Kluyveromyces lactis: one gene and its partners. The protein of the gene in region 1 interacts with the protein of each later gene in a biochemical or structural test. Links are inferred from orthologs where the notes say so. Each region holds a gene or a part of one and is shown in the gene's direction. Other genes may lie near its edges. The genes, in order: KLLA0_C17380g, CDC28 and KLLA0_F17545g.

Region 1 (4,134 bases):
ACTGTGGGGATCATAGTTCATGCTATTGTTGGTATCATATGTCTTGCCATGTGGATCCCATGCAGAAATCTTGCCACTGCCATTGCATTCGGGCTCCTATCCGGTGCATTAATGGGTAGTATCTGGCCATTACAAACAAGTATCATTTCCAGAATCGGTGGTCTTAACAAGTTACCAGCCATTTATTCTTTCACCTGGCCTTGTATCGGCATGATGTCCATTGTTTCCCCAATCATTGGTCTAAGACTACGTAGTAACGATCCAACAGTTGCCAACCAATACGTGAATACAGCCATTTTCTCCGGTATGGGATATTTCGGAGCTGCATTTTTCCTATGGATGATTCGTGGGTATCTAATAGCTCGTGACAAGCTCGCCATGGTTGCAAAGACAGGTCACGACGATGGTGAATTGCATTTACACGTCACGATTCCGGAACTCTTGAAAGGTCTACTGACAATCGGACGACTACCAAGAAAAGTTTGATGTATATAATAGAAAAAGATATACTAAAACAAAACCTAATAATATGCATGTATATTCTAGTATAATTCAATGCTATACTATAATTGCTCACACTCATTGTTGCAATGCTTTCGTAAGTGCGATGCTTAGCATACATTTTGCCCAAATCACCAAGGTATTGGTATCCGAAGAGTTGTATTTCCAACAGAAATCGCTGCTTTAGCTCAGTTGGGAGAGCGTATGACTGAAGTTCATAAGGTCCTGTGTTCGATCCACAGAAGCAGCATTTCTTTTTTATTTTTTTTATCGATTCTCTTTTCTTCTCATCACGTGAAAGAAAACGCCAAACTTTCAATAAAATTACGCGTTATCACGAAGAACGAGGTGTAGTAAGAACGCTTTTTTTCTTTTGGCTGAAAAAACGATGAGTTCTTAGGTATGGAAATTGAAATATTGGAATTAGAATCTTGTTTCAATTCGAATTAAACAGTGGATTAACTCTTCTTCATGAAAGAAAGTCAATTGTATAGAATCAAGTATTCATCATTACGAAATAAGTGCGAGTTGTTGTGAATCAGCGGTAGCGGTTTGGTAAAGACGATACAAGTCTTAAAAGGAGAAGGCCGTCAATTATTTAAACTTGGGAAAGTATCGAATTGAGTTATTTACAGACACACTGGTTTCTTCGATTTCACTTCCCTTTTTTGACCATTATACTTGAAACGAGTGTCCTCAGTGACAATTGCAATTGACATTAATACGTGTTCTTAATTGACCATTGTTTGATAATTTGTTTTCATTTTACCGTTCCAAATGAAAGAGGGTGCTAAGGAACTGAAATATGCACAAAAAGTGCAGATCCATAATTATTATGTTGCTTTAAAACAATTCTTTGAGGTTACCGGTGGTAGCCATGATAGATCAATGACATCGCGTGCTCAGAAAGCACGTTCAAAGCTGTTAAAACTTTCTTCGTCACAGTTTTTCGAGTTGAGTACTGACGTCAGCGACGAATTGCAAAGACGAATTGATGAATCACAGCCACAACATGACTATTTAGTTCCTAATGAAAGTTTCCATGCAAAGAGGAACCAGGCAAGACAAAAATTGGCGAACTTATCCAATGCGAGATTTAATGATTTGGTCGATGATATTCTTTTCGAAATCAGAAGACGTGGGTTTGACACGTTACCTGAACCAGAAGAAGCAGATTATCAGGAATTCCCAAATGCTGATACTGATGAAGATTTTAATTCGAATGACAAGGCAGAGGTCTCCTCTCCTGCATTACACGTACTTGATTCTAAGCCATCGCCAATTGTACCTAGCAGTATAAATAATACGTCGGTGGAAAAATTACCAGAAGATGAGAATTCTGCACTTAATGCAACTTTGCAGACTTCTACAGTCATTCCAAAGACAGCATCAATCGACTGGAGTTCAGATGAAGAGGATCACAAACCAGAAGCTGATGAGAAGGAATTAGCTAGTGAAGACAATGACGTTATTAAGATAGATAGAGCGTTTTCACTAAATCAGTCCCCGGTCATTATTCCAGATGAAACACAAAGCCCACCTCAACCTACAGCTTCCTCACCTGTGGGAAATAGAAGTCCGATTTCCATAGATGACCATTTCACGTTCTCAGAGAGACCGTTATCACAATCCAGTGAGGCTAGAACTCCATTGGCTCAAACTGCTGCCACTACAGCAATGGCTGCAAGTGCTGGGTTGTCGCCTTTCACCAGTAATAAAAATAAAATGGGATCCTTGTCTCAATCGGTAGAACGTAACAAAGATCGTGATATAGAGCTATTAGTTCTGGAAGGGAATAAGTTGGACAGTACCATTACAACTTTGGAGAGAGAAAAATCAGAACTTTTGAATCAATTAGATGAATTGAAGACCAATAATCAACGATTAACAGAAGAAGTTCAGCAATTGAAACAGAATGCCGACCAATCAAGTACTACTAAAGCTCTAGATAGTAATTTCCAAAAGGGAATGTCCGAAATGACTACTCAACTAAATCAACTGTCAATAGAAAACGAAGAACTCAAACAAGAAAAACTAGAACTTCAGCTGCAATTGAAAAATATACAGTCTCCAGTTAAATCGATTGACGGTAAATCAGGGAAGGATGCTGCCTATTGGAAATCAAAGTATGAAGACGCTTTTGCTGAAAAACCTGTCAGAACAAGCTCTTCTTCTATGGCCCCCATTTCAAACAAGCAACTTTTCCCTGAAACTAGTATAATACCGTCAAATCTCATCGACGACTTGGATTCCAAGTTATCACAAATACTAAGCCTCATTGTGTCACCTGAACCTCCAGTTTTGTTTTTATTCGAGAACATTGCTTCCATTTCAGAATATTGTTCAAAAATTTTAACTTTAGTTCACTCCCCAGATACAAAGACCATGAGACTAGTGTTAGAGAACACAATATCACATGCTATCACATCTGTGCGTTACTTCAGCAGCTATAAAACTCCATTATCAAGAGTTATTCTTGAAAATTCTGTTTCAGAAATCTCATTTGCAATCTATGATTTGGTTAAGACGGTAAATGGCGGATCCAATAACGATGAAATATTCACATCAAATAAATCTGGTGATCAACTGGATAGTCCACTTGGCCTCTCCATGCAAAATAGACAAACCTCGAATAACTTTGCTAAAGGTTTACACGAGGGAAGTGTTTTAGACAAACCATCACTTCTTCCTTCTCGGGCTGATAGCGTTGAAATGTCTCCGGTCAAACCTTTGAAAATTACCCAGAAAAAAAATACCGACGACGCGTCATCAAGGCCTGTTTCAGTTAGAAAGCCCTCTGGAACTGGCTTATTTACAGCAATGCTTAATGGGGGTATGAAGAAAGATAACGCATCAAAGAAATCCAAGAATATATTGCAGTTAGAATTACCTCTGGATAACAATTCCAAATCGGAAAGCAATGCTCCTATAATCGAACGCAGAGAATTGAAGACCATTGATGCAATTAAGTCTGCTTCAGCCAGCAATTCACTTCTACCTACTTCGCCACTTGCCAAAAAATCATCAGCAGTTGTTCCTTCTGACTTTAAAGACCCAAATCCTTTTGAGTTATCATCTCCAGAAAAGGGAAAGCTATTGCAAAATATTAATTCTGACATATACAACAGCAATGATGAAGAAACTGAAAGCGAAAGTGTAGAGGAGGAGGACGATGGGAATTCTACATATGAAGTGTTAAGACAAACCATGAAGCAAAAGCATCTACAAGAAGAAAACGGAACCAACGAAGAAAAAAATTTGAAAGGAATTTTTTCGCCAGTGGTACATCCACAACCTATTGAAGTTTCAACAGAGGATGTCGACTTAAATGAGAAGTCATTCAATTTTGAATCTGAAGAAAATGCTAAATCTGAATCTGAATCTGTACCTTCGATAACTGTAAACAAAAAGAATATAAAACTCGTTCCTATCCCTGCCGTTACTCCAACTTTGAAACAAAAAGAGCCATCCCCATCACCTACTGCCGAATTGGTTATTTCTCCATTAAGGCCTATAGTAACTGCTTCTGATAATTCAAAAGTTAATGACGATCAGAAGGCCGTCGATGCCAACAAAAGCGAGTCAGAAACTAAAGAAATCGCAGAACAATCAGAAACTGGTGAAACTGACGAC
Region 2 (2,763 bases), on another chromosome or scaffold:
GATCAGTAGAACTGAATCGAAGCTAGTTGAATTGAAGAAGGAAATCGAGACTGAATGCAAGATTGACGTTAAAATTTTAGCCATTGATGTCAGTTCTGATAGCAAGGAGAACTATACTTTAATTAGAGAAGTTGCGTCGGGTTTACCTGTAACTGTTTTGATCAATAATGTTGGTAAGTCTCATTCGATTCCAGTACCATTTGATCAAACCGAAGAATCTGAATTGAGAGATATAATTACTATCAACAATACTGCGACATTAATGATCACACAAACTTTGTTACCACAATTAAAAGCAAGCGTTAAGACGTTGAAATGTCGTGGTCTAATCTTGACAATGGGTTCCTTTGGTGGTCTGCTACCTACCCCATTCTTAGCTACATACAGTGGTTCCAAGGCATTTTTACAAAGTTGGTCTAACGCCCTAGCTGGTGAATTATCTAGCGATTCTATCGATGTTGAGTTAGTGTTATCTTACTTAGTTACCAGTGCAATGTCTAAGATTAGAAGATCAAGTGCATTGATCCCTTCTCCAAAGGCTTTCGTGAGATCCACATTGAACTCCATTGGCAAACGCTGTGGTGCCCAAGAGCGTTTTGCAACCTCCACGCCGTATTGGTCTCATGCATTATACCATTTCATTATCGAGAACACCGTCGGTGTGTACTCTAAGATTGCTAATTCAATTAATTATTCCTTCCACTTGAGTATCAGAAAGAGAGCTTTGAAAAAGGCTGAAAGACAAGCCAAGAAGCAATAAAAAGAGTTGTCTCCAAAATATTAGTTTGTTTTGATATAAGGAGCAGGTTTAAATAGATTTGTTGTAGTAACGTTTGATTATTGTGCGATATCCTGACAAAGAAACCATAATTATTGGAACCTGTAGAAGTGTATAAATTTTGTAAGTTTCTGTGTTAAATATTCTGTAACATGAAAGTATACTGAAAAAACCGTTCAGCAATGCCCTATACGTTACAAAATCCCTGCGTTCATCTTACAATTCCAAACCTTTCTTTCTTTTCAATTACACGTAAAGCTCATTATTGACCTTCTGACCTTAAAACGAAGAAAATACAAACACAATTTCGAAGATATTAATATAGTATTAAGGCAACGTTAATCTGTTAGAAAGAAGGCACATACCAGGGTAATATTAGAGCCATAAGCACTGAGTGATAGTTGATTATTTGATTTGACGCATATTTATACGCGAGCACAGCAAATTTTACTTGATCTGAATATACTGCTGCAAAAGAGAACAATCTGTACCTACCTAAAACTTGAAAGTAGTAAAGAAACAGAACAGCAAGGTCGCATCATACAAGAAATCCACCCTATACCAGGATGTCCGAATTAACAAACTACAAGAGACTTGAGAAAGTCGGAGAAGGTACTTATGGTGTTGTTTACAAAGCGGTTGATTTGCGTCACCAGAATCGAGTGGTAGCAATGAAAAAGATCAGATTAGAATCTGAAGACGAAGGTGTTCCCAGTACTGCGATACGTGAGATTTCATTATTGAAGGAACTGAAGGATGACAACATTGTCAGATTATATGACATCGTGCACTCGGACGCGCACAAGTTATATCTAGTGTTCGAATTTTTGGATCTTGATTTGAAAAGATACATGGAATCGATCCCCAAGGACCAGCCATTGGGAGGCAACATTATAAAGAAGTTTATGATGCAATTGTGCAAGGGAATTGCTTATTGCCATGCTCATAGGATCATACATCGTGATTTGAAGCCGCAGAATCTATTGATCAACAGAGATGGGAACTTGAAGTTGGGAGATTTCGGCCTTGCACGTGCATTCGGTGTCCCCTTGAGAGCGTACACCCATGAGATCGTCACTTTATGGTATAGGGCACCAGAAGTGTTATTAGGTGGGAAACAGTACAGTACAGGGGTCGATGTATGGTCCATTGGCTGTATATTTGCCGAGATGTGCAACAGGAAACCGTTATTCAGCGGAGACAGTGAAATTGATCAGATCTTCAAGATATTCCGAGTGTTAGGCACACCAAACGAGAGAACATGGCCGGATATTATTTATCTACCGGATTTCAAGACTACATTCCCTAAATGGAACCGTCGTAATTTATCCGAGGTAATTCCATCGCTAGATGCAAACGGTATCGATCTCTTGGACAAATTGATCACCTACGATCCAATCCACCGCATTAGCGCCAAAAGAGCAGTACAACACCCGTACTTCAAGGAGGAGTGAGAGTGTTGGTGACAGGAGGCGCGTATATTCATGTATATGATATATAATAAAAACAATACCAGTCACGTGTATTCACGTGACTTATATTACCCGGAACTCCACATTCCATTTCTTTTTGTCCCATCCAACAGCCCTTCGAGAGATGCTGCAAACATACCACAAAAACAAAAAAAAAACGGGCCTTGATTTCCTTGCCTGTGCCACAGCAATGCGCCCAAAAAGAAAGAACTAAGAGCAAGAAAAACCGAAGCAAATTGAAACCCGCCCCCCTCCCCTAGGCCTGGGGCTCTTCGTTAACGTTACGCCATTGCTAGTTTGGCTGAACGCAAATCTACCTAGTCACCTATCCTCGACATCCCCTCTCTATCGCTAATATGTCTGTCCATTATTCCGACCGAATCCCTGAAGAAATTAAAGACGAGGCCTGGTAAGAGACAGCTCAATTGACGTAATGTCTCTCAACTCAACCCATACCTTCTCTCTCTCTATTCACATCCCCCCATATTGCTACTGATTGCCATCCGAAAACAA
Region 3 (4,390 bases), on another chromosome or scaffold:
CTCCAATAGTACTCTGATGTGGTCCCTTTTCTATTCCATTTTATCTTTAACTTCATTATTCCTCTGTTATCGGTCTGTAAATTATAAGTTTGACATACATAATCTGTATCTTAAAATCTCTATATTAAAGTTTTAAAAGTAAAATTCTTCTATACATATACATACGTTTGCCAGTGACATAACATAATACACCCGGCTCGATCAGAATAGGAAGTCGTCATTTCATACTTACAAGCTTGTTCACTTGCATTCTGGCTATACCTTGCTGATTTCTACTCCAGGCTCATCATCGATTTCTAGTACAGCATATTATAATCCTCCGTTGCCAACCACTATAAAAAACGAAATTCACCTGAGACACTCAAGAATGACTAACTTTGTTGTTGCACTGTGGGAAAGCATTTTCCAACCAGGAACATCGCCTCAATTGATCATTGCTACTCATATCTCGTTTGCACTATTGCTTTGCGTGTTGGGATCGCAGATCTATTTAACCAAAAATATCCATTTCATCGCATTAACGATTATCGCCACTCTACTATGGATCACCGTGACGTGGTTCATCTACGAATTACAAAACACAAAGCTTGTTACCAACGAAGATCTACAAACAGCTGAATCTAAAAAGACTGATAAGACTGAGCCTTCCAAGCCCTCTGAAGAGATAAATCTAGAGGGTGTTGCGAAACCTGATCCTAAACCATCATCTACACCTAAAAAAAGGAAAACAAAATCAAGAAGAGCTTAAGCTGGTGATAAACCATTCTCTCACCTGAGCAACTTTCTGATTAGACTACATTGGACAGTAAGTAAAATCATTTTTAAACGCAATAACCACTGCATAGACTTGTAACATTTGGGAACCATATAAAATTTAATTCAAATACAAAGGTTGCAGAAGCCATTATTTCGTCAGATTACTACGATCTATTATATACAACGTTGTGTAAAGGCACATCCTAAATAGCTGCCTTCCGTTTCCTTTTTCACTCTTCGTTATTGTTTCATGCATAATCCATACATTTCATGTTCGCTCGGAACTTCTATGGCATTCAGATTTCGTTTTGAGAAAAAAAAAAAAATATGAACGGAAAGTAAATGAATCTTAGGTCTGTTCAAACAATTTAGGAATCAGTTTGAGTTTTGGACTTAGTCACTATTAATAGGTTGTATTTCCTTTTATCTATTCTCTTTCTAGTACAGTCATTTAGCCTAGGTTCTGGCAGAATTTATAATCCAGAGGAACCAATCCACAGTACGAGTGTAATTGACTTATTCCCTACCGATTTTGGAACGCTTCTTTGGTACATCAGGACTTTTGATAACAACTTAGAGGTAAGTCCTTAGATTGTTTGTTTGTCATTGTTAAAGGAACTTTTCTATACGTAAGTGCAGCTCATTTTACAACTAGCCATCTTTTCGTTTCTTGTAGGTTGTGCTTTATTTCTAACCTTTTCTGATCGTGGAATATGGATGCCGGTGTTACTGCGCTTGATCAACGACGTGGAGCGGGCATGTCTTCCAAGGCCCAGCTGCGGAACCAGTTACTTCACAGCGATATAGGGAATATTGATATTACTAAGGAGCAGCAGATAAACAAGCAGAAGGGAAATACAGGCCCCATGGCCCCACCTGTAGTTCCGTTACAAGCCCAGCAGTACGAGTCCAATTACAACCCTTCGTCATATAATTACATGCAACAGCCTCGACAACAATCTCTGCAGATGCAACCAAGACCACATTTTGATTACCCAGGAGACAGTAGTAGGAAATCATCCATGAGTTCTTCTACTGCTTCCTTCTCTAATTTCTTCAAGGGTAAATACAAGAAACTCAATCAAAAGAGACACAGTCAATATGACGAAAAAGCTAATGAGGATGACGATAATACAGACTTTTCGGATCATGATTCCTCTTTCCTTACATTCAATGATATTTCTTCCATGAGAAACAATGGTGGGCACGCATACGGTTACGGTGGACATCTAGATGATACCTCTCCAATAATACCGACCATCGTGACTTCCGGAAACACAAACTCAATGAACAATATAGAATATAGAAAACTTATGATGAATCAAAAGAAAATGGCATTTAACAGTCTTGCGAAGCAGCAGCAGCAGCAAGCGCAGTTCAGTGCCTCAGTTCCAGGTGGTCCTAGAACAATGTCCTTGCAAAATTATCATCAACGTCCTATGGTAAGGCCTGGTGTTTCTGGCCCGGGAACAATGATGGGTCCAGCAGGCCCTCAGCAATCAAGAATCCCTAGGCCTCCAAACGGTAGCAGATTCAACTCTTTGATGGGAGGGGGGGCTTCGCCGATGGCTGGTAGACCAGGGTATCCTCCCCAACAAGGTCCTCCAAATGACCCACGCACAATGTCGTTAACTGCTGACAGACGTCCACCAACTCAAATGAACGGAAATTCACAGTTTAGAAACGGTTATCAAGGTCCGTATGCCGCGTCACCAACAGGATCCCGTAACATGGGTTTTCCTGGTCAAGTTAATGGACCAGTGCCGGCAAGAGGTCCACCTGTTACTGGTAGCTCCCAATATGGTCCAAACTCTGGTCCAAGAGCCATGTCCCTGCAAACTCAATCGTATCCGCAACCATTTTATCAACCAAAACAAAATGTATCGCAGGATAATGTATTCAATGAAAGACAAGCAACAAGCTCATTAGCCCCTCCGCCACAACCACAGCAGCTGGTGAATAAGGCGGCATCGGGCTCATCCTCTTCATATGCCAGTGTGAATAGCGTCATTTCTGGTAGGGTTTCTGAACAAAGTTCTCCGACAACTCCCTCGAACGCATCATTCGATGAACAAAATCAGATACCATCACTGCCAAGATCACCGGTGAAATACCAACTACATGCCACTTTGTCGAATGATAATGAGGACTTTGAAAAAGACAAGGCTCTTCCTAGCTTTAACGAGGAAGAAGAAGATCAACAAACCTACAGCGGGAATAAGGATCATTCACATAGCGATGAGCAATATGATTCTGATTCATTGGTGAAATTGAATATATTAACGTTAAGTGAACCCGCAAGACAAGTGTTGCAGATCGAGGAGGAAAAAACGGAAAAGGAATACGACCTAGTGGATTCCTCGGAAACGAAAAGCAACCAGCAAGATTCTTTGAATGATGACATAAATCTCAGGCCATCCACCGCCTTGATACAAAATATTCCCGTGGATCTATCACCAATATTAAATCCTGAAATCTCGGACAACTCTTCCAGTCGAAACTTTGGCGACAACGTCAATAGAACTGAATCAATTGTATCAAAAGCCCATGCGGCGGTCGACAGTGGGAATAGTAATACTAACGAAGTACTACAATCAAAACATGATTCCTATATCGCATGTTCTGGTGAAAAAGGCTTGAAGAAATCAGGCAGCAGTTTCCAGAAAGCGAAGAACTTTTTGATGAAGATCAAAAGGACGAAGAGTGGCGATCAAAGACCGCTCACTACTGTACCTTCGTCCGCTAGAAGCAGCAGGAGTTCGATGGCAGTAGATGAAGGATCCGAAATCCAGTTAAATGATACTTTCAGGGCGAAATCGGGTGCATCCAGCGATAAACGTAGAATATCATATCATTCTCTTTTTTCCGCGTCATCTGCTGGTAATCACCACGACCAATATAGTAATAAGGAAAAGACATTTGACAGATCAACTTTGCAAATTCGTAAGTCGATGATTATTGGTGAAAGCACAGAGATACAGGAAGTGCCTTGTCTTGAGAAAGAATATGTAAAACAGAAGGCTGAACCTATTTCCGCGTTGCCATATAAGCCATCTTTTGCTTCTGAAAAGGATCCCAAACAACCCCTGTTGATCACTGAAGAGTATTTGAATATTTTGAAACAAAATATGATGTTGATGCAAGAGCTACAATTGGTTTCCACGGAATTAGCCGAGTCTATCGCAAGGGAAGGTAGATTAGAAAGTGAATTAGAATCAAAGAATCCGAAGGAACCAGAGTCACCTCAGGCTCTTTCTCTACTGGATTTCGAAACGGAATTAAGGAAAAAATCGTCAAAGATTGTTGAGTTGATTCAAAATTTGAACGAAGAAAGGCTCAAACGTTTCATTGCAGAAGAACAGAATTTATTATACCAACATGGTATAAAGCCATCTCCTAACGAACTCGCCCTTCAAATAAATGAGCTGAAGACGCAACTGCAGTCCAAAGATCTACTGATAGAACAGTTGCAGAAGCAAGTACATGATTCTTGAAGCAAAATGAAAAGAATCCATGTATGGTTCGTTCCGATTTTGAAGGTCTCGTTATTTCTGCGATTTCTTTTCCAGTCAAGCATATACCTATATAATTTGGGAAATATACATATATATGTTAAAAAACGTTGAAAACACAT

What was found.
Region 2: of the proteins of KLLA0_C17380g (region 1) and CDC28, one has a biochemical effect on the other in vitro, tested with the Saccharomyces cerevisiae proteins (2 studies listed by BioGRID). The link is inferred for Kluyveromyces lactis from reciprocal best matches to the Saccharomyces cerevisiae genes SPA2 and CDC28.
Region 3: the proteins of KLLA0_C17380g (region 1) and KLLA0_F17545g form a complex in vitro, tested with the Saccharomyces cerevisiae proteins (2 studies listed by BioGRID). The link is inferred for Kluyveromyces lactis from reciprocal best matches to the Saccharomyces cerevisiae genes SPA2 and EPO1.

Annotation. Positions count from the first base shown.
Region 1 is NC_006039.1:1,523,438-1,527,571, forward strand, and holds the start of KLLA0_C17380g (uncharacterized protein), read left to right. Parts: upstream 1-1,278; coding exon 1,279-4,134. Other genes in the region: KLLA0_C17336g (MCT family MFS transporter), read left to right, coding at 1-486. UniProt on the Saccharomyces cerevisiae protein: Involved in pheromone-induced morphogenesis and efficient mating, perhaps as a cytoskeletal protein.
Region 2 is NC_006038.1:854,796-857,558, reverse strand, and holds CDC28 (cyclin-dependent serine/threonine-protein kinase CDC28), read left to right. Parts: upstream 1-1,344; coding exon 1,345-2,232; downstream 2,233-2,763. Other genes in the region: IFA38 (ketoreductase), read left to right, coding at 1-760. UniProt on the Saccharomyces cerevisiae protein: Cyclin-dependent kinase that acts as a master regulator of the mitotic and meiotic cell cycles. Required to drive the G1-S transition. More than 200 substrates have been identified. Substrate specificity is in part regulated by the bound cyclin protein.
Region 3 is NC_006042.1:1,609,699-1,614,088, reverse strand, and holds KLLA0_F17545g (uncharacterized protein), read left to right. Parts: upstream 1-1,469; coding exon 1,470-4,250; downstream 4,251-4,390. Other genes in the region: PKR1 (Pkr1p), read left to right, coding at 368-748.